3 linked regions of the Nothobranchius furzeri genome follow. The protein of the gene in region 3 interacts with the protein of the main gene of each other region in a biochemical or structural test. Links are inferred from orthologs where the notes say so. Each region holds a gene or a part of one and is shown on either strand. Other genes may lie near its edges.

Evidence for each region. The genes of interacting proteins can lie anywhere in the genome.
Region 1: of the proteins of ptpn1 (region 3) and stat3, one has a biochemical effect on the other in vitro, tested with the Homo sapiens proteins (2 studies listed by BioGRID and IntAct). The link is inferred for Nothobranchius furzeri from reciprocal best matches to the Homo sapiens genes PTPN1 and STAT3.
Region 2: the proteins of ptpn1 (region 3) and bcar1 form a complex in vitro, tested with the Homo sapiens proteins (3 studies listed by BioGRID and IntAct, with this or other methods). The link is inferred for Nothobranchius furzeri from reciprocal best matches to the Homo sapiens genes PTPN1 and BCAR1.

What each region holds. Positions count from the first base shown.
Region 1 is NC_091745.1:6,841,661-6,850,481, forward strand, and holds the start of stat3 (signal transducer and activator of transcription 3), read right to left. Parts: upstream 6,872-8,821; 5' UTR 6,731-6,871; intron 4,441-6,730; 5' UTR 4,325-4,440; intron 3,998-4,324; 5' UTR 3,924-3,997; coding exon 3,733-3,923; intron 1-3,732. UniProt on the Homo sapiens protein: Signal transducer and transcription activator that mediates cellular responses to interleukins, KITLG/SCF, LEP and other growth factors. Once activated, recruits coactivators, such as NCOA1 or MED1, to the promoter region of the target gene.
Region 2 is NC_091754.1:40,233,632-40,242,462, reverse strand, and holds the start of bcar1 (breast cancer anti-estrogen resistance protein 1), read right to left. Parts: upstream 6,872-8,831; 5' UTR 6,270-6,871; coding exon 6,258-6,269; intron 1-6,257. UniProt on the Homo sapiens protein: Docking protein which plays a central coordinating role for tyrosine kinase-based signaling related to cell adhesion. Implicated in induction of cell migration and cell branching. Involved in the BCAR3-mediated inhibition of TGFB signaling.
Region 3 is NC_091755.1:52,045,877-52,057,282, reverse strand, and holds ptpn1 (tyrosine-protein phosphatase non-receptor type 1), read right to left. Parts: upstream 7,036-11,406; 5' UTR 6,820-7,035; coding exon 6,763-6,819; intron 6,248-6,762; coding exon 6,157-6,247; intron 5,616-6,156; coding exon 5,515-5,615; intron 5,026-5,514; coding exon 4,927-5,025; intron 4,829-4,926; coding exon 4,691-4,828; intron 4,128-4,690; coding exon 3,918-4,127; intron 3,816-3,917; coding exon 3,654-3,815; intron 3,567-3,653; coding exon 3,430-3,566; intron 1,235-3,429; coding exon 976-1,234; 3' UTR 856-975; downstream 1-855. Other genes in the region: kelch-like protein 12, read left to right, coding at 8,909-8,966, 9,433-9,659. UniProt on the Homo sapiens protein: Tyrosine-protein phosphatase which acts as a regulator of endoplasmic reticulum unfolded protein response. Mediates dephosphorylation of EIF2AK3/PERK; inactivating the protein kinase activity of EIF2AK3/PERK.

The sequences.
Region 1 (8,821 bases), on a different chromosome or scaffold from region 3:
AAAGTTTGGTCACACTTTAAAAGAAAGGATAACAACAGGGTAACTTGCAATAACTGCATAGTAGATATTTCAGCAAGGGAAGGAAAAAGCATTTGGGCACAAATTACGCCAGTTAATGACGTGTTTTGACTCGCTCCAGACTAGTGAATATCAACACAGCAGCAGCGGTGACGTTCGCAGGTCCTCTACTGTTAATACTGCAAGTAACTAATCAACTAACACTGCCTATCACGTTAGTGTCATTAGCCTTATCAGGGTTTTTTCTGGCTCAAATTGAGGCAGAGGTAGTACCATCCTGACCATGCACCAGCACATGCATGCTCTGTGCATTCAACTGCCTCACTTTTTTAAAGGCCAAATATTTTTTCGTTAAGTGTTCTAATCTAAGCTTCTGTTGATTAATAGAATATTCCATTTGACGTTTCAAGTGAAACAAAACTGGTTTGCTGCTAAAAATATGAACAAAAATAAAAAACAACAAAATTATCAGGCTGAAATATGTTTATGTTTATTTATTTGGCAGATGCTTTTATCCAAAGCGACTTACAATTTATAACCTACAGGGCATGTTGTGATCTGTGGGGGAAACCGGAGTACCCGGAGGAAACCCACGCATGCATGAGGAGAACACGCAACTCCACGCAGAAAGGCCGCAGCCGAGTTTCGAACCTGCAACCTTCGTGCTGCGAGGCAACAGTGCTAACCACTGCGCCACCATGCAGCTCAGACTCTTATTATAAAAGGCTCAATATTATGCATTAGATTAGTGTTTAGTTCAATTTTTCCCATCTGATATTTAGAGTTAAAATATTTTTAAATATTTGAACTACATTTCAGTAACATTTTAGATTTGTATTAATAACACTCATCTTAGTCAAAATAACACATAAAAATATAATGAATTTCATTAACATGCATTTGTATTGGAAATGGTAATAACATTACATAATCAATTTCCCTCTGGGATTAATAAAGTATTTTTGAATTGAATTGAATTTCTGTTGCTAACAATGTAATGGTGGCATGTCTATTATGTACGGGTTGGCAACAATCCAGTTTAAATTATGTTCAGAGATAGAGGCGTTTGTGAATTATATACTACAACGGCTTGCCGTACTTCCTGCGCCAGCAGTAATCAAATCAAAGATACTTTATTAATCCCAGAGGGAAATTACTCGTATCTGCAGCGGTTCTGATCCGTAGCGCTGCAGGATGCAGAATAAACAGGACGGTGGGGACTTTTCATCCGCTTGTAGAGTTGTCTTTCTTAGTTTTACCATCATCATATATTTTTCTGTGCACCACTTGATCGTGAGACTGCTACCCTTTAGCTTTAGCAATAGCCAATCTGCGTGTAGCTGCACTTTTGATCCCAGACTTTGGACCGGTTCTGCCTTTGCTGGTTCCTTCATTTTCCTCCACTGCATCCAGATTACCACACTGTGTGCCAGTAAAAAGCATTTTTCTTACACGTAACTTACTTTTGTTCAATGATGTTCTGGGGAAAATAGTAATTCAAAGATGTTGCACCAGTGCTACGTTTACAAATAGACAAGACACGCACAGACAGTTGTTTTCGTGGCACTGTACAGCCCTGCTCTGATATGGAAGAGCCTGGGGGAAGATCAGGACGTCAATAGCACCAACCATAGATATGTAACTAGCGAGAAAAGCCATTTTTGATCTTTGTCTGCAGCGGTTTTAGGGCTTTTTGGTGCACCGCTGCCGATACAGCGCACGGGTAGTGGCGCAACGCTGCAACTGCAGTTAAAATAACATCTACCGTAAATCCTCTAATATTAGCCTGTATTTAATTAAATTATTATATTTTGGCCGGTGTCTGAGTCAGCGGAGGTGAATAATGGCCGGTTTTTATTGTGGCCGGGTGGAATGTGGTAACAAGCAAGTACGGGGCCGGTTGTGTCATCCGTCTCACTTTTGATTTGCCAGTGATAGACCGCGAGGGAAACTTTAACCGTGCGGAGACGAAGAGGAGGCGAAAATTTGATATCAAGTTCAAAGAGAACGTGCTGATTATGCTGCAGAACACTCTGGGGAGCAGTAGCAGGGGTTGTATGAACTAGTCACTAGTCAACTTCACCACTCTATAGTGACTTGTTATGCCTGTCATCGACTAGTCGCTGTCACATGATAATGACCGGCAAGATGCAGCCCTCGGAAAAGACAGCAGCCTGCTGTCAGCAGGGGACAAGCTCCTGCTCGTCGGGAGGCAACGTGCTGTGCCAGAGAGTCGGTACTGACACCCACCGTAAAACGGACATTTAACCAAATTGCGACGTTTACCCTCTTGCAATTTAACCTTCCCCTCACCCCATCCTAACCTTAACCAGCTTGTGCATGCAAAGCTCTGATTGTTGACACGCTCCAGACATCTGCGTCCTGAGCACGGCCACAGTAACATTATCAAATCAGGTGTCACCACCTCAAAAACTAATTTAACACGCGATCGTTCATGTTGGCTCATATCCTTTTATGTTTTCTGTCTTTTATTTGTGCCTGATGCGTTTCGCTGCTGTGGAGCGGGGCACATCACCTGTTTTGTCCTCGGTGACGCACCTAACTGATGTGGCCGGCGAGCAGCGAGAACTCCGCTGTTTTTGCGGTCGGTAGATCTTTTAGAACTGCAGTTCAAAGGTAACTCATAAGGTGAATATATATGAACCCAGGTAGCAGTTTTTCTTTAGGATTGAGAGGAGATGCAAGAAGATAATAAGCAGGCAGGACAGAAAAATAGTCAAATAAAAACAAGTTAGTTTTTGTACCTGGTGGTTGCAACAAACAGACACCATTGAAGGTAATCAGAAGTGAGGAACAGAAAATGAAATAATTATTTTAATGTTTAGAGCAGCAGGAACTCTGAGAGGCTGCAGGTGCATCAGTGAGTTTGCGGCCGCTGCGCAGGGGGAGGGGGGAGAGGGCTGAAGCAGAAACTACCGTTGTTAAAAGAAATGTGTTTAACTTTGAAAATGTGGGCGCAATTTTAATTGTCAAAAACTCCAGCGAACCATTAGTTCATTTTGCTCAAATAGAAATTGAAGCCTGCCTCTAATTCTGGCCCTCCTTCCAATAAAGCCCTGGAGCTTGATGAGCTTGAGTCAAATACAGGCCCGGGCCTGTATTAGAGGATTTACGGTATATAGCTGGGGGCAGAGAGAAATCAGGCTGAGGCAGCACACAATTAGCTGGAGGCGGCCGCCACGCAAATTTGAATGCAAGAAAAACCCTGCTTATACACACACACACACACACACACACACACACACAACTCCACACTAGCAGACTCCAGCGACAAAGGTCTGACCTGTAGTGAGATTTTTCCCACTCGGCATATGCTCCAGCAACACTGCACCAAACAAGATGATGACGTTGCCTCCACAGAAAGCATTAAGGAGAACATTTGGAAAGACATTTCTAACTGATACAGGTACAACTGATTATTTATCATAAATAAACCGTCAGTTATAACACAGGAGGCCGTGTGCTATTAGTTTTTTGCCACCTTTGGAACTACCCTGGAATTCATAAGGGAATTGATAAAGAATTAAATCATACTGACTTACATAGGAAAGCAGGTCAGAGATGGCACAGGCATTTTGATAAGCTACATTACACGCCCCAAGCAGTCTATATCCACTAACAATGAAAATTTGGTTTAAATTTTAGCTACCATTTAAAAACAAACACAAAGGCTTTAATTTAGTTATTTCTCACCAGTCCTGACTCTCAATCCAGGGGGCGAGGAACTGCCGTAGCTCCATAGGGAAGCTGTCACTATACAGGTGGTATAGTTGCTCCAAATACCTGGTCTCCAGCTGCTGTAACTGGTTCCACTGGGCCATCCTGACACACGCAGTTTCTAAGAGAAAATGCAGAGCAGAGCAGAATGCACATACAAGATGCATTAAGTGTTTTTAAATGCCTTAACAGAACTTCCCTCACGTTTACCAGCAGGAAACAGCCAACTGTCGCGTTTACCCTGAAAACAAAGTCAGGAAAATGTGAAGCCTCCTATTCATTCTCGTCACTTCCTGCTTGCTGAAACGCTAGACTTCCGCCAAGAAATACAGGACGTCCTGAACAGCTGTCAGCTCTCGAAGTAGAGAGAAGTTAATAATCTCAACCAATGTTTTTTGTATAAAGGCTTACTAGAAACAATGAAGAAAAAAACACACTTCCTTTCCTCAGCTGTCAGCGACAGAGCACATGGATCAGAAACTACAGAACCATTCCTGTCTTTAATGATTAACTTCACATTGCATTTCTTAGAATTATAATGCAACTTCAGATCAGATCTTTCATTTACCTTGTTACACAAGGCTTTTATCTGACCAAAATGAGGTTGCATGGGTCCCTGGAGGATTACTGTCTTCTGCACACCGACAAAAAAGGTATTCAGTGAATCCAGCAGAGCCGTCTTCCCTGTCATGGAAATTAAATACCAAAGCAAAGCTTTTGTTTAATGCTTACATTACAAGGATAATGTTACGGTATCACCTAAACTCTGGTGAAGCACACAATCTTAACTTGTACAATGAGCTTGGCAGTATTTGTATACACAAGCTAAAGCAGAGCTAGTGTAACAGCCCTTCTGTTTGGTTTCATGATGCGATCCACTAAATAAAACAGCCGTAAGTGTTGATAAAATTGTAAACGATAAAACTTGGGACTTAATATTCTGTCAAAATCTTTCATGATTCAGCATATTTAAAAGAAACAGAAACATTTAATAATTTATTCCATTCAAAACACCCAAAACATCAGCATTATGTAGGTCTTATCTGACAGCACACACGATTAATAGTTTCATCGTAAATCTGTGTACATTAGGCCACGTGACTTGGAATATGAAGGGAGGCTATTCTACATTTAGGCGTGACTCCTTTGTAAAAGCTAAAAAGAATAAGGTCAGCGATATCAGCATCACCCTGCGATGGACTGGCTCTCTGTCCAGGGTGTACCCCGCCTGATTGCTCATTGACACCCCCCCCCCCCCCCCCCCCCCCCCCCCCCCCCCCCCGAGACCATATGTGGACAAAGCGGGTTCAGACAATGGATGGATGGATGGATATCAGCATCACCTGTTTCTGCCAAATTTAAAGGTCAATGGAAAAACAGTGTTTCATAAGCTTTCATTTTATCCTTTAATACGCTGAAATTCAAACATGTTTTGATACAGTAGTTAATACGCTGTAATAAAATAAGAACTGAGCTAAAAAGGTGTTTTTTAAGCATTTGTGTCACCTTATATAAGTTCACATCACACATGCTCCTCTTTCACTGGTATATGAAAATGATGCTAACACATGGTGAGAATTGCTGAGGAAGTGAAACCCCAACAAACGTGACATCACAAGAGGATTGCCCATGGTCAAATCAATGGTACTGCTTTATTTAGAAAATTTTGAACAAACGCCCTACCTTCTTACCTGCTATCCAAAAAGAATAAATGCTACTGGAGTTATCTCTCTCATGTTTTTGATGATTTAATTATGTTTGGGGAGGGTCCTGGCTGTATAATCAATTATTCAGTGTCTACAGTCACAGAGGAGACACAGTAGTGCTTGATTATTTACTTCTTTTGTTTAGCTAAGAAGGTAAAAACAGCCAAAATTTTCTGTAAACTGATGCACTGGTGAGTCCCAGGACTGTGCCCTTTGTTTGGTGGATATTTTACAAAGACCTTTTGCTGAGGTCACACACATTTCACATGATACATGATAGGAACCTTTTGAAGATGCTCATGTTACACAAAGCTACACACAGACAATGATTTGGCCTAATTTTGTCAGTATCCCATCATATGAGTATTTTCACACTCCAGACGGGCAGAGTAGGACTTCAATATTCAACATGACTCATAAAAAAAAAATTCTAATCTTGTTAGGTGTGTTTTGTCAGTGAGCATTTACCACTTACGGTAATGCACAATGAGATTCCTTAAAACAGACAAGCCACATTCCAGGAAGTAGAGCTCTCCACAAAAAAAAAAAAAGAAGCAATCATGCCAAGTTTGTCATTTTACTGACAGTTAACAGGCAGGACACTTGCGGGTTATTGGACACAATAATAATGATGATCATAATGGGTTTTCTTTTTCAGTTGTAACATCATCAAACTAAAATAGTAAGTGTCATTAGTCAATACTACACTTTTCTTTTCTTTTAATTTTGAAAGTGATCATGGATCTGATCCTGTTATGCAGCTCTGCACATGATGGGGTGAAGATGAGCGTGACAACAACGACGGCTTATAACAAACACTGGCCTGGAATTTTATGGGGTCATATTCATATCCTGGAAGATGCTCTTTCTCTCTTTTACTGTTTTTTTAATTTTTTTTTGTTTTGTTTTACCAACAGATCGAAATTACTGATAAATTGAGCCAAAACACATTATTGAAAGTAAACAACAACAACAAAAGAAAAAAAAACAACTATTCAAGACTGAACGTCTTAGCTGTAATATTTTATATCGGAAATAATTAATTAAAAGCAGTAAGGCAATAATAACTTTGCTATATGCCATAGCGGAACACAATGTTTCTGCACACAGAATAACTTATGACCAGCACAAATAGGCGTTTAGCAGCGTTCAGCTGGCCAAGCCTTTTATATCATGGCCATTAGTAAATATAAACTGATAACGGGTTTACATAAAAAAAACATTCACAAATAAAGATGGAGTAAGTTAGTTTGAATGCAGTCGCTTACCCGAGTCGTTGTCACGTCTTTGGAAAGATTCTCCGACAAAAACCCGAAAACTGTTAACTAAAAGTACACTGAAGGCAACACTTAATTTCTTCTAAAACGGTAAACCCACATAAACGAGAGAAAACACTCACAAAAGATGCCAACCTTTACTCTTCCCTTAACAACACGAGAAACACTTCTTCAACCCTAGAGCCAGTAGCCCAACCCATCAGCCGCTCTGCAAGTCTTTTCAGCCAATCAAACGCGCTTCTGTTGTTGATTGACATTCCAAGTGGCAAATAGCAATATAGAAATTTCTGTTAACCAAATCAGAGCAGATGTGTGACGAAAAGATGCGCGGCGTAACAGCATGTTTGGTTGAGTGCTATGTTTACTGCTGTCGCAACTGGGCTGTTCCTCTTAGTCCTCCCTCCTCGGGGTTTTCCGTTCAAAGAACAGCATGTTCGGCTGTTACGGAGGGAGGAAAGGCGTTTGAAAAGAAGAGCCAGCCTGGAAGTCATCTGAGTTACTGGCAATGCTGACGTCACCGAGTCTAATAACACATCTGCAGTTTAGTGTTAATCCTAACGGGACAAAAATAATTAATACAAGTGTCCAAACGTAATCAAACTAAGTTTATTTAAAATAATATTTATAAATGACACACGTGTGGATAAATGGATTTATAGATAGATAAAACAGTCAACAAACCTTAAACTGGTGGATTATGTAATAAGCGTTTATTAATATTGAACCTGTTTGGCCAAAACACCTTGAGTCTGGCAGGTACAGTCAGTGACATCAAGGCCATACGCCACTTACAGATGCAACAGTGAAAAGAAAAGAAAACTGAATTACACCGCTGCAAAAACACATTTAGGTAATGGGAGATCGTTTATATATCTGTCAAAAATCAACACAAAGATAAAGCTATAAAATAAAAATGATAATCTTACAAGCATATAATTTATTTTTATGTAAAGATAACAATTCCCCTTGGTGTGTTGTAATAGTTTGCATAGACTTGTAACACGATCACACGCATGCTTTCTTTTGTCTTTCTCACTGCTTAGCTTTCACAGAGAGAGAGAGAGAGAGAGAGAGAGAGAGAGAGAGAGAGAGAGAGAGAGAGAGTAAACACTTTCCTTAATTGCATTTCCCCATCCATTGATTATTTGGGTGGTGTTTCCTCTGCCACAATGCTTCTGGGTGCCTGCAAACACATCAAGGTCATAGAAGTCTGCAGGGAGGAAGAAACAGAAGCACTCCTCTTGTTTCTGTCTGGAGCCTTGCACGGTTTCCTCTCATGATCTAATGTGACAAAGGTTGAACGCTGCCACAGGCAGTTGACTTCACATTCAGAATAGATTACCGTAAGAGATGTATCCTCCCATTATGTTTTGCTCTTTATCTGACAAGAAAAAACAGTTTGATTTTATAATTTATATGCAGAGACGTTTGGTTAAACCAGTAGCGACATTCGTTTCATTATCACTGCAGGTTGCTGTACAGTTACATTGCTGTTGATATTAGTCCCATGATAATCCTAAAACCCCAACGATTGGCTGTGTCCACTAAACTGGATTTAAGATAGTAGATGCATTTTCACATGTTTTACTCTGGCAGTCATTTAACTGCCTTCTCCTCTTCAGGCCATTCTCTTTTTGTAAGCAATTATATTGAACATTTTTATCAAGGATGTGCACATGTACTGTGACGAGCTGTGACCATGGTGACAGATGTTCTTCTTTTCTCTGTAGAAGTGACTTGAATGCATGCTGGTGAGCTCATACTGTATATAGATGCATCAAAAGACCATTTTTGAATGTGAACGACAACAACACAGTTATGGTTACATCCACATTTTCAAGCACTTAACATTAAGACACACAACAGAAAACATTACATATTCTGTTACAGCCTCAGACAGATTCATTTACTTGATAAATTAATTGTAAGTAACTGATTGGAAACCCCAAGACATGGACGAGTACTGGTTTTTAAAAAGCTAAAACACACTTATTTCCAGTGGTGGAATAAAACACACGGTGGTATTTTAGTTGTTGTGGTTTTATCTGTGGTTAATTGTCTAATTCACTTATTAGATTTAAA
Region 2 (8,831 bases), on a different chromosome or scaffold from region 3:
CCGCAGCTCACGCTGGTTCCGCGTGAGATATTGGCGGTGTGGCATGAGAGCGTGTGAAGAGGGTCAATGCTGAGAGTTGGCAGCCCTGCTTAATGGTTGACTATCGAACATAGACCATCTGGTTAACTCTGGTGGTCAGAGGTGGTTTTGCAACAACAGGACTAATTTTTCAGCTGCTGGGATGGGGCAGCAGTAGCTCAACAGGTTGAGCGGGTTGTCCAGTAATCAGAAGGTTGCAGATTCGATCCTGGCCCCGGATAGAGAATTCTGCTGTTGTGTCTTTGGGCAAGACATTTGTAGTCAGAGGGACCGGTGGCGCCTGTGCTCGGCAGCCTCGCCTCTGTCAGTGCGCCCCAGGGAAGCTGTGGCTACATCATAGCTCATCACCATCAGTGTGTGAATGTGTGTGTGAATGGATGAATGATACACTGTAGTGTTAAGCGCTTTGGAGTCCTTACTCTGAGAGGCGCTATACAAGTGCGGGTCATTTATCATTTATGTTGGTTCACTGCTGACACGTTCTAGCACCATGTTCAGAGTAAATGAGCAAAACCTCCCTGAACCGTCTACAGGTGAGAAACTATACTATACTTTTATTCTGAACATCTCTGAATGCCCCATGGAGTATTTTTTATATAAAATATTCCATATTCCAACTCTAAAGCTGTTATGGTGAATCTGCAAACAAGCTAGGTGTTGAATGCAGTCACAGAACGCTCGCCCCTCCCCTCGGATATTTTCACTGAGATGCTTCTCCTGGATCCGGAAACCCACATTGCCAGAGGACCAAGAGAGCACTAAACACCAGGTCCAAACGTCTTTAGTTCTCCGTGACTTCAAATAGTATTTTTCTTTTTGGGACTCTGGTAGTTTGTCGTGAAGTTGAAATGGTAGCAGCCGGCTGTTTCTCTTCTGCTATTATTGAGTGAAGAACCTCAAACACCAGTAGTTGTCACAGTCTGAGGTGAGTGGTTACCACCTAACCTCTACAGCCCTTTTTAAAAGACACACACTGCCGGAAAATCTGCATAATATTACCGCAACAGCGTGTCTTATGAACGCGCCATGCCAGCATAGCGTTGCACTAATGTTGCGGCATTCGTTCTGCCTTGCTTGGTAGTAATATTGCTGTAATTGTCTGTCTTATAAACGGTGATTGAGGTGTCAGAGGGAGGTGTCCCGATCACATGGGGAGTTATTGCCCAGCTCCGGCTGGAAAATAAATAGAAAATGAAAGTAAATACGAGCCGTGAATTCCCCTTCTGTAAACAGAACCAGCTGAGATGTTAAACTGAAGCAATGCAGCTCTCCAGGAGCTTCTTTCCATTAGAGCTGGAACTAAGATCACCAGAGACTGCACAGGGAGTGGTGATCAGACACCTTTAGGAGCTGCTTGTTAAAAGACTTAACGAGCACGACTTCAATCGTAATAAAAAAAAATCAAGTTATGTCCAAGATAAACGGAAGTCCGCGGCAGCGCAGAGATCGCCCCATACCCCCTTTATACCACCATTGCATAATGCTAGTAAAAAGGACATGATTGCACAACTGTACCGCCACAGTTATGGCCACTGACCACTTATAAACAACATAAAGCTCCCTGATGCCGCCACGGCGTTGCAGCAAATAATGGCATTGTTTTGTAAAAACGGCTTGGGAGTGCTTGATTGCAGGTGGGAGAGCGGGCCCAGCTGCCAGTTTGCCAATCACCGGGTCTGGCTATTTGAGGAACCAGAGTCTTAATAACAATACACAGGTCACCGGATGATAACTCGCTTTTGGTGCCACCAAGCTGAGAGTCACCTGCCACCTTTTTGAAATGACCTAAGAATCGTTCGACTTCCCTAACCTCTCTTTACTCTCCAGGTATTCCAACCATCACCAACAGATCAACGATAACCTCCCTGATCCACACTCAAACCCTGCAACCAGACCTTCCAGCGTTCCACCACTCATCCTGTCTGGAAATCTAGAACCAGCCTCGAGTGCCCCTTCCTGCACAAGCTCTACCTACAACCACTGCCTTGGACTGGACCTCTTCCCCTCTCGAGCTCAAGACCATCTACAGAACTGTAAGCCTTAGCAACATATTTCCTCAGCCCAGCGAGTCACTCTTCTGGAGCCAGAGCCTCAGCATTCCTCGCCCCAAGTCGGTGGCACTCCATAAGTTGTCCTTTAGTAAATGTTATTTGATTTATCTCGTGTTGTGACTGGTTCATCACGTCTTAGGTCAACAACCTTAAGCCCAACCTGACAGTGGTGTTCTGTTGCTGAATATGTGAGTGTTAGTTATGGCTTGAACTGGGGGGGGGGGGGGGGGGGGGGGACCAGAGAGAGAGAGACATAGAGACAGACAGACAGAGAGAGAGAGACAGACAGACAGACAGACAAAGAGAGACAGACAGAGAGAGAGAGAGAGAGAGAGAGAGAGAGAGAGAGAGAGAGAGGAGAGAGAGACTTTGACTTTTAAATTATTTAAATTTCTTTACAGATCAACAATCAGTGTTAATGACTGAAACTTGTTTTCCACTAATAAAACCAGGAAAACTGAGAAACCCAGTTTAGAAGTTGATCTTTAGGGAGCCCTGTCCATCCAGCAGACAGAGCACCTGCCCGATCCCCCACACCGCTCTAAAGGAGTCCAGGTTCCCAGTAAGTTCATAAAAAGCGTGTTCGATCTTCAAGCGAGCTTCCACCAGGCCCTTCAGGCTCCGCTCAGCATCAGTCCAGCTCTGTCCCAGCATCTGGTTTTTCCTGGTTTTCCAGATGGCTAGTTTTGCACATGCAAATAAAAAGTTAATTAACAATTTTGTCCGTTTTTTCTGACACTGTACTTGGGCCCGAAAACAAATAACGGAAGGGTAAAAGCCTCCCCCAGTGCACTAACCCACCGTTCTAAAACCCTGAACATCCCTGATAACCTAGAACATGCTACCACTAGATGCTCTAGGGTCTCTGTTTGGTTACAAAAAGGACATCCCTCCCCGGTGCTTGGATCAAAGTGGGCTCTGTGTCTGTTCGTAGCTAAAGCTCCATGTATGATCCTCCACTGGAGGTCTGCCATCCCTTTTTTCCACTGGAGACTTATACAAAGTCCTCCAGCTGCCCCCAGGGGCACGGTCCGCAGCAAACACCTGAGTCCACCTCAACTCCTTGACTCCTAACAAGGAGCGCCTATTGATAACCTTCACACAAGTGTGATAGATCTGTTTCTTCCCACAAGACTGGAAGGAGCCCAACACTGGAGAGTTCAGGTTCAGCAGTAATCCACTCTCCTCCTGCCATCCCTCACCAGCTGCTTTAACCTCCAGAGATGGAAAAACGTACTCACTGTCATCATCCCATTGGTCAGATAGAGTACAAGTCTCAACGAAGGCTCTCTGCGACACAGACAAGGACCTCCGTACCTCCTCCACCACTCTCTCCATCACTCTGGTGGACCTCACATCAACCCGCTCACCAAGGGTTCCAGCCGGGATCTTCAGTAAGTGGCCAAACTTTACAATCCCAGCATCGGTGAACTTCACTTTCAACGAAGACGAAGTTAAAATGCCAGCTTGAGAGAAGAAGTCATTGTCAAACAAGGGTTCTTGTAGCAACCATGTCCCTGGTCCCGTGTCAGGTGCTCGGGAAACCGCCAGCAGCTTAAAGGTGTCCAGCACTGATGAGTAGAACGGACTAATCCTTGTCAGATCCAACACCTTCCGATTCAACAGGAACAGGTGTTTGTTCAGCCCAAGCCCACCAACCTTCTGCAGCAGGAGATGAGCCAGGGGGAGCCAGCGGAGTCCGTCACCATAACAAAGCTTCTGAGCTGTCTGTAACCTGAAGGCTGCAGTTCTAGACACCACGTCTATTAGTCCTTGTCCTCCCTCTGACACGGGTAGGCAAAGAGCCGAAGCTCTGATCCAGTGGTGACCAGACCAGAAGAATTTCACCAACAGCTTCTGAACACCTTCCAGCAGACGGGGTGGTGGAACCAGTACAATCAGTCTCTGCCACAGAAACGAGGCGACGAGGTTGTTTGCTATCAGAACCCTGCCCCTGTAGGACAGCTGAGGGAGCAGCCATTTCCATTTAGACAACCGCGCCTCCACCTTCTCCAGCACCTTCTCCCAGTTCTGTTTCTGAAACCTTTCCCTACCCAAGTACATGCCTAGTGTTTTAATACCTCCCGTTCCCCACCTCAACCCTTCTGGCAGAGGCGGGACATCACCAAGGTCCCACCCCCCACTACACATGCCTCACTCTTGTCCCAGTTAACCTTAGCTGAGGATGCTTTCTCATGTAAACGTAAACTAGATCTGAGTTCTTGTACATCCTGCTGATCATGGATGAAAACATTCACATCATCTGCATAAGCAGACACAACTAAGGGAGGACTGGAGTCAGGTAAAGGTAGGTGTACACCTTTCAGCCTGTTCCTCAGCCGACACAGCAGCTGTTCAATGGCTAAAATATACAGTTGTCCTGAGATGGGACAACCTGTCTGATTCCTCTTAGAACTGGTGGGTTGGCTCAGGCCCCCCGCTACCTTCACCATACAGCTGACATGACATGACAGCATCTTAATCCCTTCCAGGAAGGACCCCCCAACACCAAAGGCCTGTAGCGTAGAGAACAGGATCTCATGATCAACCCTATCAAACGCCTTTTCCTGATCAATAGAAATGATACCTGCGTTTACATCATACATTTTACAAACATCAAACACATCTCTCATTAAAAATAAATTGTCCATTAATGACTTTCCTGGTATACAGAAGGACTGATCGTCTGGGATTAGACCTCTGATGAATCCCCGAAGTCTATTAGATAGGAACTTAGAAAAAATCTTATAGTCTGAACACAACAAGGAAACTGGTCCCCAGGTTTTTAGTTGGGTTAAGTCCCCTTTTTTCGGCAGCAGGGACAGAACGCCCCAACTACACGATGCAGGAAGTGCTCCTGTCTGAAGTGAGTCTCTAAAAACATCCATCAGGTCCTGTCCAATACTGCTCCAGAAGAATTTGTAGAAGTCAGCGGGTAAGCTGTTCATCCCCGCAGATTTACCTGCAGCCATCTGGGAGACTGCCGTTGTAAGTTCCTCCATGGTTATGTCTGCATTTAAGATTCCCTGGTCTACTGTGGTCAAGGAAGGAAGCCCCTGCAACAGCTCTCTGGCACAGTTCACATCACATGGGGCGGCCTTAAATAGGCTGGTATAGAATTCTACTGCATGCTTCCTCATCTCCACTGGGTCTGTGGATAACTGTCCATCTGACAGACGCAGGCCAGCCATTTGTTTTTTCTGGTTTGAAGTCTTTTCCAGGTTAAAAAAGAAGGATGTCAGAGCATCCATGTCCTGTATTGTGGTGAGACGAGCCCAGATCAAGGCGCCTTTGGCCCTCTCTTGCAGGAAATGCCCAAGCTGCTGTCTTTTTTTGGTCTAAGGTGTGCTGTTGTTGAGTAGTAGTCTAGCACCCTGATGTCCTTCTCTAGATCTGCCATAGTCTTTCTTATTTGGTTTGTAGACCCCCGCGTGTAATGTTGACAGAAAACTCTAATTTGTGCCTTCCCTTGTTCCCACCATTCACTGATGGTCTTAAAATCATTCTTTTGGACCGCAAAGCCTCCCAGAACAGCTTAAAAATGTTGCAAAAGGTAAGATCGTCTAATAACTTTATATTAAAGTGCCAGTAGGATTTTGTCGTCCCCAACAAAATGAAGCATCAGTTCAGTTAGAGAGGAGAGAGAGAGAGAGAGAGAGAGAGAGAGGGAGAGAGAGATCCTTAGGCAGTGTTTGTGAAACAGATCCTTTGGAATTTGATGGAAAATAACTCAACAAGCTCGAGCAAATGCCTTATTCCACACACACGCACACCTGCACACACACACAAACACACACACACGCACGCACACCTGCACACACACACACAGTGCTATCAGCTGCTCTGCTGAGCTGACTGGCCAGGTCTGCTGGAATGAAGCCACCAGACCCTGGCTGACATTGGCCTTCATGCAAACAGCCTCCCGGAAGGGGCGGGCTGCTCCTTTAAACCCGCTGGAGCTTCATGTAGGCCAAAGACAAAGAGTAACATGTCACCACCAGCACATATCACACACCGTGTTACAGTAATATGTGTGGGCTCACATGATAACATCTTAATTACTGTAGTGCTATGGAACCGGGCGGCCCGGGCCCAGGCTGTTACAACCATTAACATGGAACACCGGAGCAACGACTGGGAACACCAACATGCGTCTGACATACTTACAGGGATAGACATTTTGCTGCAGCTGTCCTATTGCGCCTTTTCCTGCCAGTTGCGTCTCTAGCGGGTTTTATGCACAGCTGCGCTGGCGTCAGCCGTTCGTGGATTCCATGGAAAAGACTCCTGGTAGGAAAGGAAAGCTCCCAGCGGGAGGAAGAGGTCGGGATTTGTCTCAGTCCAGCTGGACTGCTGCGTAAAAATGCGCCTCAGAGGCGCAGATCTGCAGCAGCGGTAATGCGATCGTCCGTATGACCCGCAGACTTGACGGTTCTCGGTCCTCCCTCAAGTCACTCTGCCTCGGACTCACCCCCCACGGACGCGCGGCTATAACAGCTGGAGCATGAAGCAGCTGCGGCTGGAGGCCGAGCGGAGCGGGTGGAGCACAGCTGGCTGCTACCGTCCGCCCACCACAGGCTGGATCCTGTCCGCTTAAAGGGCCCGAGCCCCCCTCCCATCCACCATCTTTGTGTGGTTTGGGGCTACTGAGAGACGGGAAGCTGATTAAGAAGTTCTGTCCTAGCATGTCCCCTTGACCCAGCTGGGGGTGGGAGAGAGGACTCTAGTGAAAATAACATCACTGTTGGACAGTGTCCTCCATCCCATGCATGAAGCTGGTGTGGAGCTGGAAGCTCCTTCAGTGCCAAACTGCTGCATCCTAGGTCCATCCTCCCAGCAGATGTTGGACTTTATAAACACCAGTGCTCCCAGCAAAACCAGTAAACAGTCTCTTGCATTCCTTCATTCCTGCTGCTTTTATGATTTCCTCCTTCCAATTATCCTCTGTCTGCTTCTTTTTCAGCACATCCTGAGCTCCTTCAAAGGAGTCTCCTACCATCTTTACGCAGATGACATCCAACTGTACATCTCCTTTAAGCCCCATGAGATGTCTAAGCTGCAGCTGTTACACACCTGCTTAGACTCTATCAAAACCTGGATGGCTGGGAGCTTTCTACAGCTGAATGAAGATAAGACTGAGATCCTCATCTGTGCCCCAAACAAGCTGGTTCCCAAAGTCAGAGACTCTCTTGGTCAGCTTGCTTCTCACACCAAACTCTCTGTCAGGAATCTTGGCATGACCTTTGACCCAGTTCTCACCCTGGATTCTCATGCCAGTTCTCTTTTTCGCTCTTCTTCTTCCATCTCAGGAACATTGCTAAGCTGAGTCCCATTCTGAACTTGAGACTTCTCCACACCTTCATCTCCTCACGCTTAGACTACTGTAACTCTCTTTTCACGTGTCTGAGCAGAACCTCCCTGAACCGTCTACAGGTGGTTCAGAATGCCTGTGCTCGGCTTCTGACCAAGTCCTCCAAACACACCCCCATCTCCCTGCTTCTCCTCCAGCTTCACTGGCTGCCAGTCAACTTCAGGGTTCATTTCAAGATCCTGGTTCTGGTCTATAGGGCCTTACATGGACAAGCACCATCTTACATTGGTGATCTTCTTAGTCCCTACACCCCCAGCAGGTCCCTGAGGTCCAGTGATCAAAGCCTACTGGTTGTGCAGCACCAGGCTAAAGACCAAAGGTGACAGATCATTTGCTGCTGCGGCCCCCAGACTCTGGACCTCTCTCCCCCTGAGATCAGTGGACTCAGTGGTCTCCTTTAAAAAGCAGCTGAAAACTCACCTGTCCAGGCTGGTTTTAATGTCACCTTCTGCTGAATCTTCACTAGTTTCTCTTCATGCTGGTGTTTGTCAGTTCTTTTTCATGTTCCTGTGATGACATTTTCTTTTTTATTCACATTTTTCTGAACTGTTTCCCATTTCTCCCATTTTTATTATATAACAATATATATTTAATTTTTTTTCATTTATTTTATTTTCTTGTGAAGTGCCTTGTAGTTTTTATCTAGAAAAGCTCGATACAAACTTTCTTCTTCCATCAAAGTTGGCTCCATCTTTAATCTCTCTGCTGGATTTCATTATTTTGAACGATGGTGTCAACAACGATGCCTCTTGTTGGGAGAAAAGACAAGTCCTTCCAACATCATTTGGTCGTCTTTCAACTGTAGAAAAGGGACCAAACACATTGATGGCGGTTACATCACTTACAGTTAGTATGATACATGCTATACAGCGAGAAAAACTTACCTGTGCTCTTCTCCCTGATGATGCTGCCCACAGACCATCTGCTCAGACTGGGATGACCTCTGTCCTGATGTCCCATGAACGACATAATGGAGAATCCTCCTCCCCTTCCTTCTAGGCCATCACCAATCACATGGACTCTTCCTCATCTGCCTCTCTGGACAGATGAGCCACTGGTGAACTCTGAACTTTAACCTACACAGTTGGTCTGACCACATCATTGGAAACACGTGTAACTGTGACCTGATAAAGTACGTCATTAAAAATGTATCGTTAAAGTTCTTGCCCACAAATCCACCTCCCGAATTTATTAAAGATGGTTTTGTATACGAAGAATGTATAAAGATCCCTTAAGTGAAATATCAATGTCTTTCATTACTTTATTGAACCTGTTGATGGAACACACCAAGTCATGTTTAAAGTGATTAGGTTTCCAGTCTTGATTCGGAAACGGGTAGAATGCCTTCTCCGGGTCAGGGATGAGGTCCT
Region 3 (11,406 bases):
GAATACTGCCAGCTCAGGGTCACAATCAGTACAGTGTATCGTCATCGTCCCTGTGCTGGTATTTGATTTTTGGTTTGTTCAGTCCCTGGTCCCACACTCCACATCTCACTCAGATGCTTCAAACTGACTTTATTGCTGGCAGACAACACTGGCAAGGTGATTCCCCACCCCACCCCACCCCCTGCACAATTTAGTTTCACACCTTGAGCCACCAGAGAGGGAAACGAAGAGGACGCCGCTCTGTCCACATCTCACATTTTACTTCCTGTTAACGAGACATGGAGCAGGTTGAACAGGCGCGCGCACAGATACACAAATGTACAGATACACAGAAGACACACTCAACCGGCCAATCAGAGGCGACTAGTGTGGACAGATCACAGTTCCAAGCCCACATCTGCATGCAATCAGTGAGCATGAATTCACTTTTTTATTTCTATACACACTCCGCTTTAACCCCCCCCCCCCCTACTGGCGTGTTTTCTGACTGGCTTGTCAAAAATCAGGACTGAACATTTCAGACCCATCTGTGTTAGCAAGTGGGCTAAAAAATAAAACAAAAAGTTAAATCTTAATGAAAAAGAAAACAGAAAGTCACATTCAAAATTGTCATTTTGGTAAATAAGATGCATATAAAACGGGCAGACAGGGTTCTCATCCTGGTTCCCAGACCAGCAGCTTGGAGACAACCCCTCCCAACAGCCGCAGTCTGATGTACTTGACAGACACACACATAGACACACACGCACGTTTGGGTTGTGGCACCTGAAGAACTGAGGTCCTGAGCGTCTGTGATGGCGTACAGAAACGACGTTTGGGTAATTAGTGGCAGCTCCTCCTGCTGCAGCTATAAAAATAACAACAGGTCAACCTGAATAGAACAAAAGCTCACTGACAGAGTCAGAGCAGGCTGGTGAGGCAGCCAAGTCCACTTTGTGACACAGAACAAAAACAATCAGGAAGAGGAAAGAGACATCAGTGGAAATAGGCTCGATAAAAAATGTAAGCACTGAGGGTCACCGCTGTGCAGAGACACACGTTGACTAGGAAAGGGGACCAGGTCCCCGGCACAGGAGAGCTTTCCTTTGGCTGCTCCGCTGCCTTCGGCTCATCCTCCTCCTGCTGGGATGTGTTGGGAGCTGTGGAATGAGGTATTCCCACATGCCGGTCCGGCTGACCAGCCCTATCAGAAGGAGGCCTTGCAGCGGTTAAGATCCTCTGTCGCAGGTCTTCCCTGAATGAGGAAAAAGACAGATGGATGTCTCCCAGTTAGGTTTGGAGTTTAATGGATGCATCCATCAAGTCGTTTTACACAAAGAATAAAGTTTAAAGCAAACATTGATATGGATGTGTAAGCTAGTGAGTTGCGGTGGATGGCTGCTCATCCTGAGCCAGGTTCTGTTGAGGTTTCTTCCTGTTACAGGGAGTTTTCCTCTCCACCGTCGCTACATGCTTGCTTAGCATGAGGATTGTTGTAAAGTCAGTGACGATGCAATCCGCTGGGTTCCCTTATATAGGAAACTTTAAACGGCATTAGACTTTGGTGGTACTATGGTATTACTGTATACAGCTGGTGTTTAAAAAGAGCAACACTATCAGTGTTAATACGTCATGAACAAAATGTAGTGCATTTAGGAGATAAGGACTAAATATAAAAAAAATATTTGATGTGTAAAACTGACGTGTTGTTGAATTTTCATTTTTAGTTAAATTGTTTAATATGTTATAGTCGACTTTTGGAGACATTCCGTAAAGTTTATGAACATGACGTCATCATGTGACAGCGCGGAGGAGAGAGAGAGAGACGCACCTTAAGAGAGACAGGGAGAGAGATGGCAGGTCGTGCACCTACTGACTCGGTGTCAAAAATAAACACAACTTCTGCTGTTGGAAGTATTTTGGATTCCAAGCAAACGATAAAGGAGAGCCGGTGTTCCGTCAATCCACGTTTCCCTGTCAAAGAGTGTTCCTCGTGCAATAAAGAGGTGACAGCAAGAGATGCAGGTCCCGTCAGCACCGCAGATGAACTCTAGAGAGCTAAAATAACAGCCGGTTTGGAGCCTATTATTCACTTTTCTGGTAGAAATATGCTGCTAGTTTCTTCCCCAGAAGTTGTGACTGGCCCAAAAGCCTGTGTCTGTGCCACAAGCGCACCATCGGAGCAGGTTTTCAGCACCCCAGGCAAAGTTGTTGGTACAGAAGGTGCAATGTTGAATCTGGAAAAGTAAACGTGCAGGTTTTTCTGGCGAAAAATATTATAATGAGCAGCATTTTTTTAATTAAAATGTTAACATTATGCTTAATATGTTTGTTTTTTTTGGTGGCAATAGTGTTGAGATTCAGTTTCTGAACTGTTACAGTCCAAGCCAACACTTTGTTAATGCCACTTGAGTTTTAGGTCATAATTTTTAATTACTCATGGAAATACCGTACACTGTGGTAACACGTAGAGGAAGCTTAACGATATTGAAATTTGGATAACACCCAAGCCTAATTGCCATTATGAACTGAACCCAATTTTACCTTGTGAAGTGCCTTGAGACGATTGTTGTTGTGATTTGGCGCTATATAAATACACTTTTTTTTTTAGAAAAATGTTGTGCTAAAAGTCACGTTTCTGTTTCAGTATGGTGGGAAAAATGTTCTTTTCTAACCGGAGAGGAGAGGAGAGGCTTGCGTTGAACCATATAGGCAAAAATAAATAAATAAAAAATATCACATTGTGATTCTTTTCCAACTCTTGCGATAATGAAAAGTAGTGAAACCTTCAACAGATCACTTAAATAGCACTTTCAGTCGTGCTGCACTCCTGCCCTTTTTTGGATGAATAACCAGTCAGCCTTTTACGTTCCACGGGAGGTAAATTACATCCTTCCTTGTCAAATCGGAGTTTGTTTTGTCAGCATGATACCATCAGAACTGTAGACACAATAAACGCTTTTAGCTATATAACACAGAATATGTGTATTTTGCAACTGTTGCTGTGAAACTCGCACACAAGAATTTCACTCGCATGTACTGTACCAGTGTACCTGCACGTGTGACGTGACAATAAAAGTGATTTGATTTGAAATGCTAAATAATGTCCAGCTCAACGTCTGAAGCGTCCCATCACAGACGGAACACAGCCATCTTGAATAAAAAGATTTTACGTCCCCAAGAGTCAAATTAATGACTCCAATATATTAGTTAGTCCACAACAAGTGTCACGTCTACAGTCCAACATAATAGACCCCTGATGCGTTTCATCCTCATAGTAGCTTCAAACGTTTGATCAACATCTCACCTGATCCAACAGATGAAGGCCCCCCCATCACATCACATACCTACGTTGTGATGCTGACTATCAATCGAAGCACGGAGCAGCTCTATTAGGAACCACCCCCACCCCAATGCTCAGATAAGCCCGCAGATGATTGGGATGCTCACCTCAGGATGACCTCTTCTTTATCAGGGAAAAAAGGTGGCTGCACTTTGCCATTGTGAGGGTCTCTCGGAGGAGGAGGGGGAGGGGGAGGGGACTCCGGAGGATCATCTTCCTCGTTAGAGAGCTCTTTCCACGATTCCTTCAGAAGCAGAAAGCTTGTTTACTAAAAGGACTTCAGCAGAATGCACAGTCATAAAAAGCTCCGAAGAGGAGAGGAAGAACCTGCCTGGAGAGATTTATCTCCTTTGATGTACTTGGCACCTTCGATGACAGCCAGGTAAGAGAAGCGAAGCTGATCCGCAGTTTGGATCAAACCCATTCGATACTGCCGCATCTTCAGCAGCACATCGCGAATACGCACCGATGACGGGTCCTTACGAAGAGACATCTGAACACAAAGACAGCAGTCAGAGTGATTCTCCTCAGATAGGCGACTGCTTTGTTTGTGATTGTCTCACTGCATGCTGGAGTTTATACAAATTATACAAACCAACAAGAGGCAAGTGTCCACAAGGCAGAAGGTCCCAGAGCGTCCGATACCAGCGCTGCAGTGGACCACCACAGGTCCATGCTCTGAGTTCAGACAGCCTGACTCTCGCACCTTGAACAGAAAGTTGAGGAAGGAGGCGGGAGACTCTGGTACCCCGAAATCAGGCCAGGTGGTGTAGTGAAAATGTAAAATCTCACGCGTCTCGTGAGTCTGTAGGGAAAGGGTTGGGGTTAGAAATAAAACCGTCACACGTCAAACACAGCACCACAGATGGAAACCAAAGCCAAGTCGAGATGAAAATAACTTCCACTTGATGTTTCAGCTCAGATCAGCATTAAAGCAAAAACTAGGGAAAAAAACTTCCTTTTATAGGTTAGCATCAAATCCCCTCAGCAGCTAGAAAAGCCCAACTAAACACAGATTTTCAGAAAGGTCCAGTGCTGTCAACAAATCAGTTCATGCTCCACAAACTTCAGCAGCAAAATTATAGATCAAAACCAGGAAGTGATGAGACGTAGGACCAGCTCCTGACATTCCTGCCAAACTGAAAATACGAGTTACAACTATTTAGCTCTGTAAAAATTGTGGATGTAATAGTTAAATTCTTCTTTAGCTTTTATCCTTCCTAATTTGCTCTAAAGCACAAGACACCGTGTATATTTTCTCTGTCTTCATGACTAAATCACGAGTGGCAGAAGGTGTTCAGGACCCACGGGCTCTCAGCGTCAAATAACCTCTTATCTCAGGCAGACAGCTCAACAGAGAGGACTTACCAACAGGTTTTCCAGCTCCAGCTGTCGGACTGTGTAGTAAGATTTGATGTCCTCCGAGACGAGAGTCACCTTGAAGTTGGTGTCTTCAAAGATGGCGTCCTTCTCCTCTCTTTGCGGCCAGTATTGAGCACATTTAATCTAAAACCAAACAAAGGTCATGTGAAAACAAAAGAGTAGCGTGACTCCTGAGTAATGGACACATTAAAAGGTCTCGGTAAGGACAGACGACTGCTTACAGATCCTTTCTCTATGACCCGGTTTAGCATCACCACACCGTGGGTCCTCTGCTCCCAGACCATCTCCCAGAAATGGCCACACGTACTCGGCAGGGGTCCCTAAACAGGGAATAAACCACTCCTTTAAAGACATCACACTTTCTTCTTCGCATCACTAGATAACAATATTAGCACGGGATGAATAAATAACAGATCCAGCCACGTTCTAATCTCCAGGTTTTTACCAGCGTACTGTGATACAGACATACAGAACCACGGCTCCAGCTGGACCCGAGCCACTGCCTCTGATTTTGTGACACGTGCAGTTGTGACAGTTTAGTCCACATCCAGCATTTTAACTACAAGCAGTGATGGCCCATTTCCACCATTTTCAAATAGAAAGCCTGATATATACTCCTCTTAATATTCTTGCTTTTCTATTTGCTGTTTTTCCCTCACTGATCAATCCCATGGATATGCTCTCACTGTGGTATTCTTCCATTTTCCAAATCATTTGTTGACATCATAACTCCAAGACGTGTTACATACAGTAGATGTGTGTCTGTATGTAAAATCATACAGAGGACAGTGAATCTTCAGGATGCTTACCTGAGTAAGAATATAATTTCTCTGAGCCTCTTCAACAGTTATCAGGCTGGCATTGATGTAGTCGTTGGAACCCAGCTGCAGGTGTATTCTGCTGTGGTCAACTGAGGAGCGGGGACAAAAGACAGATAAAAATGTCTTGTTGTTGTTTAGAAGGGGAGGAACAGCCCTACCATCGCAACACTGATGAGAAAAGAGTCATTGAGCAAACTAACAACAGAGGTAACCACCTATCCTTCATATGAGATGTAAATGTGGGCAAAAGTTTCAGGTTCCTCATTTTCACATCTTGTTAGATGTGAATAATAAAAACTAAGTATTTGCAACCCAAGCTGCACAATTTGCATAGCTTATTCAGTGTGAAAAAGAGGAAACCAGCAAAGCTCAGCTGCTGGACTGTGATGGATTTAGTTCTGTGGATAGTAACTATTTTTACATTTTCTAACTTGTATAATTACTGTTGTTTTCTTATTTAAAATTTAGAAATTAGTTTCAAAGAGACAATCCTAACAATTTACAATCTGTCACCTTTGAATTATTATATGGGTATGATAGGAAATACACAATCTACCTGAATTTAAGAATGGTTATAATAACCGAGAGAAAACAACAAACGAGTCTGCTGATGATCAAAGTGTAACTCACATGGGCTGACATCCCTGTAACGGTTTCGAGTCTTGTTTTCAGGCAGTTTGGCATCATTGCATGCGCACTCGCTGGACTGCTGGCGAATCTCCTGAGACAAAATAAAATTTACCAAATAAATTTTAGCAGATTTAGGTTTCACACACTGTGAAAGTGGATCTGAGTGCATGTAGGCCTTACTTCCTAAATTTAATTCTTTAGAAAAACAGAAGAAAAAAAGAGTCTAGACATCACACTATTAACACTGTTAATGCAGGTAAACATGTACACACACTTAAAATTATCATAATAAAGTAGTTACTCATGAGTAGTGATTAAACAGCATTTTAAAACGTGATTAACGTTTTAATGGACACTTGATAAAGGTTTATTAAAGTCAGAACAGATCCGGGCCACTCCTGGGTCCTAGCGAGTGTTGCAGGTATTATACCCGGACAGACACATCAGAACAAGGCTGTACACACCCAGAAAAGTCCCGGTGACTAATAAAAACATTGATTATTATTAATACCTTATATATCTGCTGACTCGTTGTGAGCAGGCCTAAAATGACAGCTTCACCTACGGTTCGTGTCTCCACCTTGATGATCAGCCGATAGTTCCTACCTGGTAAATGGCGCTCCACCTCTCGTTCTCATCGATTTCCAAGAACTCGGCTTCCATTGCTTCCAGTTCAGCTGCCACTCTTTCTTTACGCCCAGCCCAAAACGAAGAACCACAGCTTCCCGGTAATTAAAGAATTAGTAGTGAATCGGTTTCCGGTAGTAGCTGCCCAATCTTCGGCCGCTGTTAGCTCGCATTCAGTGCGGCTGCTTAGATCGCCATCTCGGCCTACTCTTAACGGAAACACGCCGCTAGCTCCTCCTACACGGTGTAGCTGTCGTCCTTGGGTGGCTAAAAAGAGCACAATGTGTTTTGTTTTGTTTTAATTTGCTGCTGTGAGATATCTGTGTAGGATTCACAGCACTTCTTCAAGTCTGGAAAGTAAGTCTGTTGACACAGAATCGTCATCTCACCATTTCTGAAACAGCAGCGACCAACAGGCGAGGACGCGCGGGAGGCATCATATTTCTGGGAAAAAAACGCGTCTCGCTCTTTGGGGAGCGCGCACGCACACTCACGCACTGTGTACGTCATCGCCCCGGCTGCCGGTGAATTTGGCAAGCTGTTTTAACATTTAATATAATTACATTTAAAAAGTAATTTGAACGTCAGTGTAAATATTTCTGTCAAAATGACAATCTGAATTATAAAATCAAAACCAATGATAACCAAAACTGTCACAATATTAAAATTGTGTCTCAAGTTTTCCATAACTGAGACTTTGTCAGGGAAAACAAACTTTTGAAGCAAATTATGTCAGCTTTCCATTAATTTATATTAGGTTATCCCCTTCAGATGTGGCAAACATATCTGTCCATGTCTTTGTCTAGTTCATATTTCCACTGCACAAGTGAGTTGACATTTGAGTTCATCTTTTTAAATGGCACTTTGGTCACAAATAGCATTTTACTTCTACACTGTGCATAGAAATGAGTAACATGTCATAACATTTGACATTGTTTTATTAAATTGTTCTGCATTTCTACTGCATTACTGTTCTTTTTAACACAGCAAGTGTTATTTTACCTTGTTTTTGCATCAGGTAACAACATCGAGTAACAACATCAGGTAATAACATCAAGTAACAACATCAAGTAACTACACCATATAACAACATCCGGTAACAACATCGGGTAACAACATCAGGTAACAACATTAAGTAACAACATCAAATAATAACATCATGTAACAACATCTGGTAACAACATAATGTAACATCATCATGTAACAACATCTGGTAACAACATCAGGTAACATCATCATGTAACAATATCAAGTAACAACATCAGGTAACAACATAATGTAACATCATCATGTAACAACATCAAGTAACAACATCAGGTAACAACATAATGTAACATCATCAGGTAACAACATCAAATAACATCACGTAACATCATGTAACATCATCAGGTACCAGCATCAGGTAACATCAGGTGACATTAAGTAACAACATTATACAACATCTTGTAACAACATCAGGTAACAACATTATGTACTATCATCATGCAATAACATCAGGTACCAACATCAAGTAACATCATGTAACAAAATCAAGTAACAACATCATGTCTGAACATCAGGTAACAACGTCATGTAACAACATATAGTCATGTAACAACATATACTACAACAGCAACAACAACCACAGACTAAAGGCTATTCATTTTACTACGAACAAGTGAATTCTGGATTTTTGTTTGAAAGTTCGTGTCCAACTATTATATGATACATCTGCTTGCCAACTATGTTGTTGGTGGCGCTACTGTGACCCACTGCAGTTTAGTCAACGTTAAATTGTTGGTGTTCAAAGATCGTTCTGGGACATAATATGAGATAATTTTGATATTTTGAACAGACCCGTCCCCGCGGAGGCCGTGTGTTGGTGTGACCTGACGGAGGTCATGATGGATTAGGGCGGTTTGAACTGAGACTTTGGTGCTGCTACAGTTAGTTAGCAAAACAACTTAGCTAGACGTTTTGACTCTGCCCTGCAGGTATAATGCAAATTCTTGCCAAGTTCTTGTGTGTGTGTCGCTTCTTGTTTTGTCTCCCTCTGGCCTACAGGCCGCTTTTGTAGCTGCTGTTTTCTGAAGTTGTGTGGCGTTGGCGTTAGCCGTCAGCTGTTGTTCAGTGCTGCTTTTAGCTCATGTGTAGCTATAGTTATTGCCTCCCAGTGGTGGAAAAAGTGTTAGGATCTTTTCACGGTAAGTTTCATCACCACGATCAAATAAAAATCCTGGTTCTAACTAAATGTACTTGTAGTTTCAAACATGGGTTTTTGTTTGACAAATACGTTTGTTTTATTCTTTTTTTTTTTGTCTGGTTTTAATCAACATATCAGCTTTTAAATACCTAAGGATGGATAATACCTGTTTGTGGACTCTTCCACTGACAGATGTGACATTATTTGATGTCTTTCCTTGTTTTTTTCTTCCAAAACAAAACAACAAACCAATACACACACATCTAATGATTTCTACAGATTCATCAAAAATGTTTTTTCAGTAGTCATGATGGTTCCTGAATAATCTTTAACTAATGAGCCAATGCTAAAGTTTTTATTATTATTATTAATCCAATAATCCGGTGCTTCCTGTCTCTGTTCCTGTTCCCAGATGGCATTGTGGTCTGCAAGAATTCCGTTTATTTGTCTTGATGTATTTATTTTAGGTTCCTGTGGGAGTTTGAGATCTATGACGGATCCTCCAAACAGCATGGCTCCCAAAGACATCATGACAAATTCCCATGCTAAATCCATCCTCAATGCAATGAATTCACTCCGCAAGAGTAACACACTCTGCGACATCACTCTGAGGGTGGACAACGCGGATTTTCCTGCTCACCGGATCGTCTTGGCTGCTTGCAGCGACTACTTTTGTGCCATGTTCACCAGTGAGGTAGAACTTTCTTTTCAGGACTAAAATGTACAAAACAGTTTTTTTTTTAAATATTCACAATTTGGGGGCATTTCCCCTGTTTGGGTTAACTATTACTTGTAACTTAAATGGATGTGTGTGGATTTTATACTGGATGTACAACAAATTTTTCAAATCATTTGATGGGAAATAAAAAGAAAACCTAAATTTATTTTAGGAAGAGGTTCTGTTAAGTACAGTTGTATTGTAGGAACACATGAGTTCATCCCAACATTTGAGACTTTATTTAATATTTACATAATATTAGTTTTACTTCCAACATGCTTCATAAGTAAGAGATGCTGCAGAACAGCACCCTCAGCATCCATGTGTTATTCTGACATGAGATCTTTCAAATCCAACAGATCTTTTTACTTAGTGAGTAAATAACAGAAGTCTACATTTTACCGTTGTGTGTGAGCCAAACAAAACAAAACTTCGGACGTTTGGAAGCCGCACAATGACAGGCCTACAAATATGGTTTCATTTGCAGGTCTTTTAATAATGGTTTATTTTGTTATTTAATGCTTTCACTGGGGATAAAGCTTGTTTTGTTGCTATAACAGGCTGAAATATGTAGACATTTTGACCTGGAACAGCTTGCTCCAATGTGTTAAGACAGTTATTTCTAACTCACAACCAGAGAGGGCTACTTCATCAGAAATCAGGTCAGTCTTGCTTGCAACTGATTCAAAAGTAAACAGCACATCAATAAGTTTTAATCATCCAAGAGTCACAGCAATGCTACTAAATGAAGAAAACGGGCGTAACACAGGAATTTCTCCCATTTTCATCGTATTCATCTTATCTGGAGAAAACAAAGCTTACGTTCTTTAGATAATAAGTTGTTGTCATCATTAGAAAATGAGCACAGCACTTTTTCAGATAACTGAACAGTCGACTCTTGATCTGAAGGAAATCCCATCAGACCTAAAAATAGCTGCTATCTGCTTCCATGCTAAGTGTTTAACTTTTCATGAAGCTGCATTTGCAACCATTGCATCTAACTGAATGAAAACACTGTTTGCTGCTCCATTTATAAACGTTTTTACCAGCTGATGTTAATAGATTCTGTTTTACTTGGATCCATCTCTTAGTTAACAAGATACTTTAATTATTCTGCTCCAACCTGGAGGGAGTGTTTCACCTTTATACGGTTGAGAACAATGACATCGGTCTTAGAGGAGCTGATTCTCATCCCAGCCCTCGGCCCCCAGCTGTGAAGCATGCTAGTGCACGCTAAAGATCATAGCCTGAAGATGCTAACAGAACCACATCATCTGCTGTCACCTAAAGCAGAGATGAGACCCAAACCACTCGACTGCGATGTGAGCTTCCGTTCATGAAGATTGCTGACAGGATCAGACACCAGTCCTGGTGGAGTCTAGCTACTCAGGCAGCGAGTCTTTATCATGCTGCATCATCAGAGATCCTGCTGCAGGGTGTCATTCAGGACGTGCCTTTTATTGGCAGGTTTGATAACTTGTTTTCAGAGCTGTCAGCTTGTGGGTGGATTGTTCAGACTAACACTGGACCTAAAAATCCCTCCTAGACACATTTGAACATACTAACTGTTGCAGGATGGATCTCTCCTCAGAGACAGTGTTTGTTTAACGGAAACCCTTTTGCCCCTCTAAATGCCGATATAATTACAGGGCATAAATATCCTTGTAAGGGAACAAAATCAGAAAAATGCATCTGGAGTTTTTTTTCTCTCTTTTCTACCTTA